Arabidopsis thaliana: one gene and its partners. The protein of the gene in region 2 interacts with the protein of the main gene of each other region in a pairwise test. Each region holds a gene or a part of one and is shown on either strand. Other genes may lie near its edges. The genes, in order: ABCB29, AT4G23030 and GOS11.

What was found.
Region 1: the proteins of AT4G23030 (region 2) and ABCB29 interact in a protein complementation assay, tested with the Arabidopsis thaliana proteins (one large-scale study listed by BioGRID).
Region 3: the proteins of AT4G23030 (region 2) and GOS11 interact in a protein complementation assay, tested with the Arabidopsis thaliana proteins (one large-scale study listed by BioGRID).

What each region holds. Positions count from the first base shown.
Region 1 is NC_003076.8:1,055,508-1,059,264, reverse strand, and holds the start of ABCB29 (ABC2 homolog 12), read left to right. Parts: upstream 1-2,092; 5' UTR 2,093-2,159; coding exon 2,160-2,750; intron 2,751-2,873; coding exon 2,874-2,960; intron 2,961-3,034; coding exon 3,035-3,142; intron 3,143-3,226; coding exon 3,227-3,493; intron 3,494-3,594; coding exon 3,595-3,678; intron 3,679-3,757. Other genes in the region: AT5G03920 (F-box protein), read right to left, coding at 584-1,108.
Region 2 is NC_003075.7:12,070,711-12,074,467, reverse strand, and holds the start of AT4G23030 (MATE efflux family protein), read right to left. Parts: upstream 1,709-3,757; 5' UTR 1,612-1,708; coding exon 103-1,611; 3' UTR 1-102.
Region 3 is NC_003070.9:5,458,181-5,461,937, forward strand, and holds GOS11 (golgi snare 11), read right to left. Parts: upstream 2,180-3,757; 5' UTR 1,910-2,179; coding exon 1,871-1,909; intron 1,621-1,870; coding exon 1,381-1,620; intron 1,183-1,380; coding exon 1,018-1,182; intron 888-1,017; coding exon 774-887; intron 652-773; coding exon 538-651; 3' UTR 218-537; downstream 1-217. Other genes in the region: AT1G15870 (Mitochondrial glycoprotein family protein), read left to right, coding at 1-65; AT1G15885 (uncharacterized protein), read left to right, coding at 2,370-2,510, 2,790-2,915; AT1G15890 (Disease resistance protein (CC-NBS-LRR class) family), read left to right, coding at 3,226-3,757. UniProt on the Arabidopsis thaliana protein: Involved in transport from the ER to the Golgi apparatus as well as in intra-Golgi transport. It belongs to a super-family of proteins called t-SNAREs or soluble NSF (N-ethylmaleimide-sensitive factor) attachment protein receptor.

The DNA of each region.
Region 1 (3,757 bases), on a different chromosome or scaffold from region 2:
CATGGTTTAAACATTATGTGTTAACATATTTTTATACTACATTATTATTGTATGTATTTAATATCATAGGTTTAAATATAAATTTAATTAATAATATGCAATTATGCATGGCACGGGGAACCACTAAGACTATTGTCATGATATTAATATGCTGTTAAAGGGCTTTAACGGGCTTCGGGGTTTAAAAGGCCTCAGATCTTAGCAACCGCTTAAATTCTCGGTTTAGTTTCGGTTAAGACGAATTATCATCAAATTAGAATTAGAAGTTGATATTCCTTTTGGTTCGATTCAATTTGTTTTGGAGAGAAATGTCATTTCTCCTCCGCTTAACACCGCCGCCGTTATCTCACCGCCGGAGCTCATCTCTCTTTCTCAAACATCCATTTCAACAATCTCCGAGACCTCTGAGCTCCGGTAAACCCTCGAAAATAGGGGATAAAAAAAAAATAGGGGATTGGTTTCTTGTTCATCAAGCATCAACGCCTTTGCAGTAAATTTTTTGGTGCAAAACAAAGCTCTTGATTATTTAGGTAGAAACGCTTACATATTTTTAAATTTCACAGACTTTGTATATACATAATAATTAGTTTTTAGAGGGGAAAAAACATTGAAGATATCTAAGAGTATCTTCAGGGGAAAAATATCTCTGGTCGCTTTCAATGAATATCTCAAGGCTGATCTTGTCAAGTAAGTCGCCGTTTAAACTCACCTTGACATCGCCGGTTAGGCCACGTCTGATTAGATCTTCTGGAGCAAGAAGATCGTTGAACAACCATCGTAAGTTTGTGTCTAATGACCTTCGACCTTTAACGATTGTGACAATGTTTTGCCAATCTTTCTTATAAACGACTTCCCAAGTGATCATTACATCATCCATACCAGACTTGGGCAGTTCAAAACGACTCAAGTCTACGATTTCTATTTTGAACCGGTCATTAGGGTTAAACTCGCGGTCCGCGCCAAATTCTACAACTGTTAACTTCTTTGATTTGGTTGTGTACACGCCTATGACAAAGGTGAGATCCGACATGGAGATTTTGGGTTTGGGAAGTTCCTTAGCTCCCGAGTGTTCTCCTTCTTCGGCCATGACCACCGGGGACTTCTCCATCTACTTTTAACCTCTCTTTGTTTTGGAATGAATTTTGTGTTTATATATTCACCCTCCATAATTTATATATAGTGGTACAAATCCTCAATGAATTAGGAATACTGGAACTAAAATTGATTACAATTAAATATCTAATATAGAGTTTTAATTTTCGTCATATATTCTAATAATATAGAGTATTTTTTTGAATAATTTACAAAATATATGGAAATTTGTAGATTTATACTAGCTAGGTGTATTATGGGCCATTCTGCAGCATTTCATGGTTATGAGTCCAACATTTCATACTAGGTGGATTAGATATTAAAATAATGAATTAATTTAATTACTATAATAAATTAATAATTTTCAGATTTTATTATTTTTAGAGATTTTTTATGATTTAATTTAGTATTGATTTTTTCTTATTAAATATTAGTTAGATAAGGGTGTTAAATATTTTGACAAATGTTAACACATATTTTTATCTAATTAGATTTATTCTCTGAGTTATTTCAAACTAAATTAAAATTCTCTCACAAAACAAAATACATATGTTATTAACTGATTGTAAACTTTCATTTGTGTCAACAAACTACTTTTACAGTTTTGAAACAACTTCTTATTCATGACATTTGCTCTATAATTATACTAGGTGGTGGACCTCTCCCACCATGTTACGAACCTAAATCTAAAATACATATATCAATATGTTACAATTTCAACTAAAGTTAATCGAAACGTTTTAAATTGCAAACAAAATTAACTGAAATTTAGTTTAAATGTTTTTCTACCAAAAACTATAAATCTCTTGAAATATTCAATATAGTGTGTATAATGAGTTTTAAAATTTATTTAATAGTTGTAAAGTAAAACTATTTGGGGTTAAATATCAACCTCTTACTTGATAAGATCAGGTTGGGCCTCGGGTATTAAACTCATAAAGGCCTCAGATCTTACTTCTTAGCAATCGCTTAAATGTTCGGGTTTAGGTTCGGTTCAGAAGAATTATCACCGAATTAGAATTAGAAGTTGATTCGTTTTGGTTCGATTAAATTTGTTTTGGAGAGAAATGTCATTTCTCCTCCTAACACCGCCGCCGTGTCTTCTCATTCCTCCGCCGCCGCTATCTCATCGCCGGAGCTCATCTCTCTTTCTCAAACATCCATTTCAACCATCTCCGAGACCTTTGAGCTTCTGTAAACCCTCCGCTCTCCGTCTCCGAGCCAATACAACAGTCAATTCACTAAAAGCCCTCGAAACTATTAAACCCTATCTTCAATCGGAATCTAAAACCGTCCTACTTGGCTGGCTCTGCAGCTGTGTCTCTGTTGTCTCGCTTTCTCAGATTGTTCCTAGGCTCGGCTCCTTCACTTCCAACCTTAACGCAAACGCCGCGAGCTTGACGAAGCTCAAAGGCGAATGTCTCGTTTTGGCGGGTCTGGTTTTGGCTAAGGTTGTTGCTTATTATCTGCAGCAAGCGTTTCTTTGGGAAGCTGCTTTGAATACTGTTTACAAGATTCGGGTTTTCGCGTATAGGAGGGTTTTAGAGAGAGAACTAGAGTTCTTTGAAGGTGGCAATGGGATTTCATCAGGAGACATTGCTTACAGGATCACTGCTGAAGCTTCTGAAGTTGCTGACACTATCTATGCTCTTCTCAACGTGAGTGTTTTGCTTGTTATGAATGTTTTGCGAAGAGAAAGTTTCCTTCTTTTCAGAATTTTTTGATACATTGTGGTGATTTTGGCTAACAACTATAAGCTCTACACTTCATTTATATGGCAGACAGTTGTGCCCAGTGCTATTCAGATATCTGTAATGACGGCACATATGATTGTTGCAAGTCCTGCCTTGACACTAGTCTCTGCAATGGTAAGTGAATCAATTGTCTCTGTTTGTGTCTCTTTTGCTCTAGAGTTTTCTTATTAGTTTGGGTATTGTTCTAGGTGATACCATCTGTTGCGCTTCTTATAGCATATCTTGGTGACCGGCTTCGTAAGATATCTAGAAAAGCACAGATTGCCTCTGCTCAACTTTCTACCTACTTGAATGAGGTATTAGTCTTTCCTACAATTGGTGTTTTTCTTCTTCTTGTTAATTTACGGGAAAATTACTAAAGCAGAGCTTTTTATGTTTAGGTTCTTCCTGCAATTTTGTTTGTCAAGGCTAATAACGCAGAGATCTCTGAGAGTGTGAGGTTTCAGAGGTTTGCTCGTGCTGACCTAGATGAACGGTTTAAGAAGAAGAAAATGAAGTCACTTATCCCTCAGATTGTTCAAGTTATGTATCTCGGATCATTGTCGATATTTTGTGTTGGAGCTGTTATCCTTGCAGGCTCTTCTTTAAGCTCTAGTGCAATTGTTTCCTTCGTGGCATCATTAGCTTTCTTGATCGATCCTGTCCAGGTAGATACTTGTGTCAGTGTGGCATTCCATGCCTTGCCTCTATACTTTTTTGTGTATAGAGGAGCTGTCTTATTGGGATTTTGAATCTAAAAAACATGCAGGATTTGGGAAAAGCTTATAATGAATTGAAACAAGGAGAGCCAGCGATAGAACGTTTGTTTGATTTGACCTCTTTGGAATCTAAGGTACTACACCCTATCTTTCCTCTGATCTTCTCTTCAGTTTATACTCCTAATGATTTGGTTTTGTTCGTTGTCTATCTCA
Region 2 (3,757 bases):
CAACATAAATTTGAAAATCCAACAATCAAATGTTTCCTCCTAGAATAATGAATTAGAAGAGTGTACAATGAAACGAATCTCGTTAGTGCCAATAAATCAAAACTAGAAGACAAGATTTTCTTCTATATCCAAAGAATCCAATAAAAACGGTGTATTACCATCATCTTCATCACCATCACATGATCTAGTCATGAGTTCTTTTGCTCTATGAACCTCAACTTCCCAATCAGTCCTAGCCAACACGACCAGCATCGAAATCAGGCACGAGCCTTGTGCTGCAAATAGACCGAGCCATAGTCCTTTGAAGTCAAACCCGCTAAAGAAACTTAACCATACAGCCACTGGCATTCCCACAAAGTAGAAACAACACAAGTTTATGTTTGCTCCTAACTTAGGTCTCGCACTTCCTCTCAACACTCCACACAATGTGGTCTGAGGACAGTTTCCTAGCTCGCAAAGCCCGATGATCGGTAAAACCATTGAAGTCAACTTCACAATCTCTTCCTCATCTGTGAACAATCTTGCCCAGCAATTCCTCACCATCAAAGCGAAAAACATTGCCAATAAACCTAAACCAAGGCTTAAACTAAGTCCGGTTCTCGCAGCTATCCTCGCTTTATCAGGCTGATTCGCACCTAATTCATTCCCGACACGTGTCGATACGCTGATACTCAGAGAGGAAGGGAAAATGTAGATCAAAGCGGTGGTTTGGATCAAGATTCCCATAGATGCCACGGTTGCTTGCGGGTTAAGTAACAATCCACATAGAAGAATCATGATTTCATACCACCACCACTCTAAACAAACCGAGACGCAGCTAGGGATGGCTAGTTTCATTAGAGATCTCCATCCTTTAAAGCAATCCATTGAGAATCCTCCCCAAGTCTTCTGGTAAACACCGGAAAACACTATGTAGATGATTAGAAACCCTAGGAGATTGACATTAGTCCAGATTGCTCCCAAGGCGACTCCTTTAAGGCCGAGACCGAGAGAAGAAACGAGAAGGTAGTTAATCGGAATGTGGAGTAATACTGCGAAGAAAGCAGAGTAGGTTAGAGGAAGAGTGATCGATTGAGATCGGAGGTAGATACGGATAGGATGTAAAAAAGATTGGAGGATCAGATCAGGGAGAGAGAAGAGGATAAAGATCTCAGCTTGGTTTGAGATTTCTTCGTCTTGTCCGAAGAAGAGAAGGATCTTCTTGATGTTGAGCCAGAGGATAGATATGGGAAGAGAACAGAGGAGAAGCAAAAGTGTGGTTCTTTGCAAAGCAAGGCCTAAAAGTTTGAATCTTTTGGCGCCAAAGGCTTGAACGCAGATGGGTTCCATGCCGATAGAGAGACCGGAGAGGAGAGAGTAACCCGTGATGTTAGCGAAGCCGAGGGCGAGTGAGCCACCGGAAAGAGCAGAGAGATCGTTGAGACGGCCGAGGAAGAGCATTGAGATCATTGAGCGAGAGTAGAGAAGTAAACCGGTTAAGATCAGTGGGAGAGATATTTTGGCGATTGATTTGGCTTCTTGGATCGAAGAGGAAAGGTGGGTCGGGTTCGGATTCGGATCTTGTCGGTGATCTGTTTGGTTCTTGATGATCATCAACAAAGGAGCTGCCATGATTACAGGTTTGAGAGAGAAGAGAGAGACAGAGACAGAGAAAGGAGATGATGAAGAAGGTGTTGTTGATGTGTGAAAGGTGTGTTATAAGTTTGAGATTAAGTCACTAGTTAAGGTTAATAGTGATTAAGGCCCTTAAGGGAACAAGAGAAGTTTTTTGACTCAGAAATTAGTCTTAATTATAACAGAACAATTTTGGCGGTTTATTTGACCGGCCATTATGTCATTTGTTACGACTCCGTCTTAATTCAGAGACACTATTTTATTCTATTTTCATTTGTGGAAAACCAATAAAAAAAGTTTAAAGAAAATATGATTTTTGGATGTCTATTTGGAATCATTTTACTTTCTTCATGTTGATTTGGATTTTTTATATATATAATAGTATTGTTTTTCTTTGGATGTTTATGCAACTCTTTTCTTTTAATCATGGTTACGTTTATTAGGATTTTTGTTTCCATTTGGAGATAAGTTTCCAAGAAAATATTGATATTTGGATGTTTATTAAGAATTTTTTTTATTCACGATTAATTTATTGTCTGTATTTCGTTTAATTTATAGTTAGATACTTAGATACATACATACAATACAACTCAGCATAGAAAGAGTTGAAACTTGAGACGTTTTTGGGATTTCTATTCTTTAAATAATAAACCAGTGTAACAAATTGACTCATGTCGTTTCTTCCTCACTTTTAATAGTATTGAATTTGACCATTATGGGTAATTTTCATGTGCCAAAAAAAAAAAACGAAATGGATTCTTTACAAAATCAAATAAGTAACTGCTCGAAGTAGTAGTAAAGTAGTAAGCTAGTAGGGATGGACACAGATCATATACCAGAAAATTAAGCAGCTATACAGAGAGGTTGGTATCAAGTTGTTACGAAATACTAAGATTTAAAATTTTATGGACCATTTTATATAAAACTTGGGACGATGTTGATGCTTGCAATAAAGTGAGAAGAATTATATAGAATATTATACCTACTTAATGCTTATTTCTAAACTTCAAAACAATTTATTGGACCACTCTATTGATCATATAATCGAGGGGAAAATTATAGTTTGGCAAAAAAAAAGGCTTGCTTTCATAATTAGTTTCAAGAGAACTTAACAGAAAATAATAATTAGTTTAAAGAGAATATTTTTTATTAGTGTTTATTAATTTTGGGATAAGAATTTATTGTTTGTGCATAGATATAATACGATGTCACATGCTTCACCTCTATAGAATGTGGACCATTAATATAGCTTAAGGATGATGGGGAACAAAAATAACATTATCTTATCACGAGCTATGTCGATCGTTTATTATATTATAACAAAAAAAAAAATTAACAACTGTAAATAGAAAAAAATATATATATATAAACTATATGAAATAAAAATAAATACAAATGTAAATATAGAAGTAACAAACAAATATAAATAACATGATAAAAAAATTATAATTTACGTATTTCAGAGATTTTATATTTATATTTTTAGAAATGATTAGGGTTTCCAAGTCAAATTTTCGATCAATTTTCTAAGTTACAACTTACTGTTACTTTGTATATGAACGAAAGAGAATTGATTTCCTTTTGGACTAAAATTGTTGTCAAGTGTTTATTATGTTTTGATTATGTTTTATTTATGTGAAATTTCAGAGTATTTTTTCATTGTATCTTGAATATCAAATATCATTAACAAATTATGTGAAAATTAATTTACGTCGACTTAAAATTAGGTTAAGGTAATCTTGACAAGGAAAAAGGGCAAGGTTATCGAGGAATCTAATAGTGTTTTGGTTAAAATTAACAAATTTTTTTCATTAACACAATTGTGTTCCTAATTCTCATCACACTGTCTATAACGTATTTTCCTATAATCAGTATTACCGCATATACTTAATGGTTGTTCATCCATATGCATTCTAGAAACAATATCTTCATATGATCAAAGTAATTAAACAACAATATCTTGTGAGACAAAAGATGTCATATAGTCAAAAATGTTCAAAAATCTATAATATCCTTGGCATAGAATGAATCAACCCCATAAAGATCCTAAGTAATAGGAGGAATCCTAATAGTCTAATTTATTCATTCTCATGCATGTAACTTTAACTAAACAAACCTTTGTGTCCTGTCGCTTGATAACTTC
Region 3 (3,757 bases), on a different chromosome or scaffold from region 2:
ACAAAGATAAAGCTGAGTATATTAGATGGATGGAGACTGTTAAATCTTATGTTGAGCAAAAATAAAATCTTCTGCCGACCACATTCTTAAGCAGCCAATGAATGTTCCCTTGGATATATGATTATATGGCTTAGATGGACTTTTATTGGCATGGTTCTTAGTTTCCAGAGGTAATGTGACATTTAAATCTAATATGGATTAGTTGCGAGCATATATATGATAATGATTATATTAAAGCCGTATTGCATGTAGGCGCCATGTACCCTTTTCAATGCAGCAACATACTCCCACAAATAAAAAGTTACAAGATGAGAGAAACAGATGGTTGTACTGTATGTGTGGCATCTCCAAAATAACTCAACATTTAACAAGCTCGTCTAGACTGCAAAGACAGGGATGAAATTTTCTGTACACAATATTTATGTTTTTGATCTTTAGATTCTTTACTAGAACACCGATAATTGCAGAACAAATTGACATCATGGGAAAACCAGACGTGGCCCAACATAAAGATGAAACGAAAGAAATGGGCAAATTCTACTTGGTTATCCAGTAAATGAATATGAGAAATGTGCATACAGCCGCAACGAGTGAAAGAATGATTGTATCCATCGACTTTTTCCTCTTTATCGCTGCCAGAATAGTGTTCACCTGCAGTGGTTTTAACCATCCAATTGCAGGGTGAGATATAGGATAAACACAGGCCATAACCGAACATAAAGAAAGCAACGAGCAAAAGAGTGTGTAAATAAGACTAGGAAAGCTCTTCGTACCGTAGGTAGACGGCTGGCGACATTGCTAAGCTTTGAGTTGATGCCTCCAAAAGTTGAACGTTGAAACACAAGCGTACCGAGTGTTGCCTGAGCTTGTGAAATGACACCGTCCATCTGCACCGTTTATATAATAGTCAGCTCACATAAGTCATGACGTGTTCGATTAACTTGAGAAAGCCAGGCCTATTGTACGCTACAGCTGTAGAGTCTAACAAAGGTTAATCGCAAAGGAGAGTTTATATACCTGAGCTGTATTGCGGTTGATTCCCATATGTTCCTTGATCAGGGCTTGTTCAGACCCATATCCATCTTCTAAATCTAATCTAGTCCGATCAAATTCTCTAAAGTCCTCAAGAAGTGAAGCATGCTCTTGTTTTGCTCTAAGACTGGAGCGGTGTCGATAAAACTCCTGCATTTTGAATGAGTCATACATACAGGAACAAGACTGATTTACAACGAAGGTTGAGTCATAAACTAGTCCAAGAGCAGAGTGTGAACAGATGGTTAAAAAGATAACACTCATTTCATTACTAATCAGTATATAATCAACACAAGCTATAGAATAAGGCAAATATTCAAATGGTATGAGTCAGGAAAGGAACAGTACCTGTGTCAGATCTTGAAGGATCTCTTGATGTCGAGTTAAAGTATGGGAGACCATTTCTGACCCACCAGAAGATACCCATGCTTGCATCTGAGCATTAACTTGTTGCAGTTGCCTAAGAAGTAAGTCAATCCCAGCTTCAAGATCACTCTCATTACCATCTGATTTTGATAAAGCCTTTGTGGAAACAAGTCTACGATATGAATGCATCTGCTCGTCAAGCTGAGCTTCAATCTTTCTAGCCTGTGGGATTCAATACAACACAAAGCTTATTCAAATATCAATTGGATCCAGTAAAAAGATAAATCATTGAGAATTAGCCAACAAAACCAATAAATTCCCCAATTCGAATCGAACCCAGAAGATTGATATCAATTCAGACCTCAAATATTCGAAATTCAAGACAGATTTTCAGACACTACCAGCTTCCCCAACACAATTACCTAGTAGCTTCGAATCAAACGACACAATAATTTTATAAAAAGAAAAATACCTGTTTCCGTAAAGCATCCCAAGAGCTAGGCACATCCATGGCGTCTACTGAATCTGTCAAAATCTCTCCTTTATGAAAGCGGATCGTGTCCTTTCCGGCAAGAGACCTTTTTCCGATATAAATCAGATGCGACAATCTTCTTCCTCGTCCTCGTCACCAAAGGTTTGAGCCCCTAAAAGATGCGATCCAATTGGTTCGAAATTGAGACAAGTAGTGAACGGAACGGATCGGATTGAGAGAAGGATAGAGTTGGTTCGGAGACGCAGACAGAATTTCTGCGTACCCCTTCAACGGAAAATTGCTTTTCAGTTTTGCGTAATCACAAATTAATTAATTCGATGACCTGAGATTCGGCGGGTATAATCCAGTGTTTTCCACCCTACAGTAAGTTTATATATAAGTTGACCTACACATTTAGTCAAACTTGCAAGCGATACGTGGATAATAGTAAACCTTAACATAAACGACATCGTTCTCCAGTAAAAATAGACCCGGCTCGATGGCTCGAGTCCTAGAAGCTTACCGGGTTCTCTCATCAAACTGCTCCATTCGGATATACTTCCACTCTCAAGTCTCACTCCCTCACAATCAATTCAAGCGATTGCCGCCCGTCGTCGCTTTCAAATTTGTTCTTCCGCCGGTAACTAATTCTCTTTCGCTTTGACTACGCTTTTGCTTCACTGCTTCGATCTCGTTCGGTTTCCTTCTGTTTGCTTCTTCAGAAATTCCTCGAATTGCTTTTGATCAATCTCAACTCAATCTGTGGATTACTATTTCATCGTGTTTTCACTTGTTGGTGCTCGGGAAAATTATGCAATTTTTCGAGTTGTTAATGGCTTTAGTTCTTCGTGTTTGCTCTTTAATGAATTACGAACTTTTTCCAAAGAGAAATAAGGTCTATTTTTTTTGGTGAAAGTAGGAGATTTTTTATGGCGGAGGGACAATTGACGAACATATCGGAGATGATACTGAAGAAGAGGAAGAAAGGGATGAGCTTGAATTGAGTAATTACGGCAACAATTACAGTAGCAGAGTGTTACATTAGTTGAAAGTTGAAAGATAGTTGTGCTCTTCATATTTTTTTATGGTCAATATCATTTTGTGGATAGAAAACTTTATCTTATAGTTTCTTAATGTTTGATGGTCAATGTCATTTTGTGGATATCTGAACACGCATCTTGACTTTTCGTTGAAGCTGCCACTTTCAATAAGATATTAGAACTTGCAGTCTGACTTTTAAATTTTCTAATCAATATCAGGAGGGCACGATTGTACTCTTTTTCCTCTTCTCCATTCAGTGCTCCTTATCTTGTGTTGTTTCCTGCATCGTCTTGATATTTGAAAGTTTGAGTAAGATGGGAAACTGTGTAGCACTAGAAATATCTTGTGATCAAACGTTGAATCATGCTTGTGGCTGCTTATTTGGTGATCGGAATTACATTCTCAAGATGGAGGCTAATCTCGAGGCTCTGCAGAATACTATGCAAGAGCTCGAGGAGAGAAGAGATGATCTGTTAAGAAGAGTTGTCATAGAAGAAGACAAAGGTTTGCAACGGCTTGCTCAAGTTCAAGGTTGGCTTTCAAGGGTTAAAGATGTTTGTTCTCAAGTCAATGATCTGCTGAAAGCTAAATCAATTCAAACTGAAAGGTTATGTCTCTGTGGATATTGTTCTAAGAATTTCATATCTGGCCGCAATTACGGAATAAATGTACTGAAAAAGTTGAAACACGTGGAAGGACTTCTAGCTAAAGGAGTTTTTGAAGTGGTGGCAGAGAAAATTCCTGCGCCTAAGGTGGAGAAGAAGCATATCCAAACCACAGTTGGGTTGGATGCAATGGTCGGAAGGGCATGGAACAGCCTCATGAAAGATGAACGAAGAACTTTGG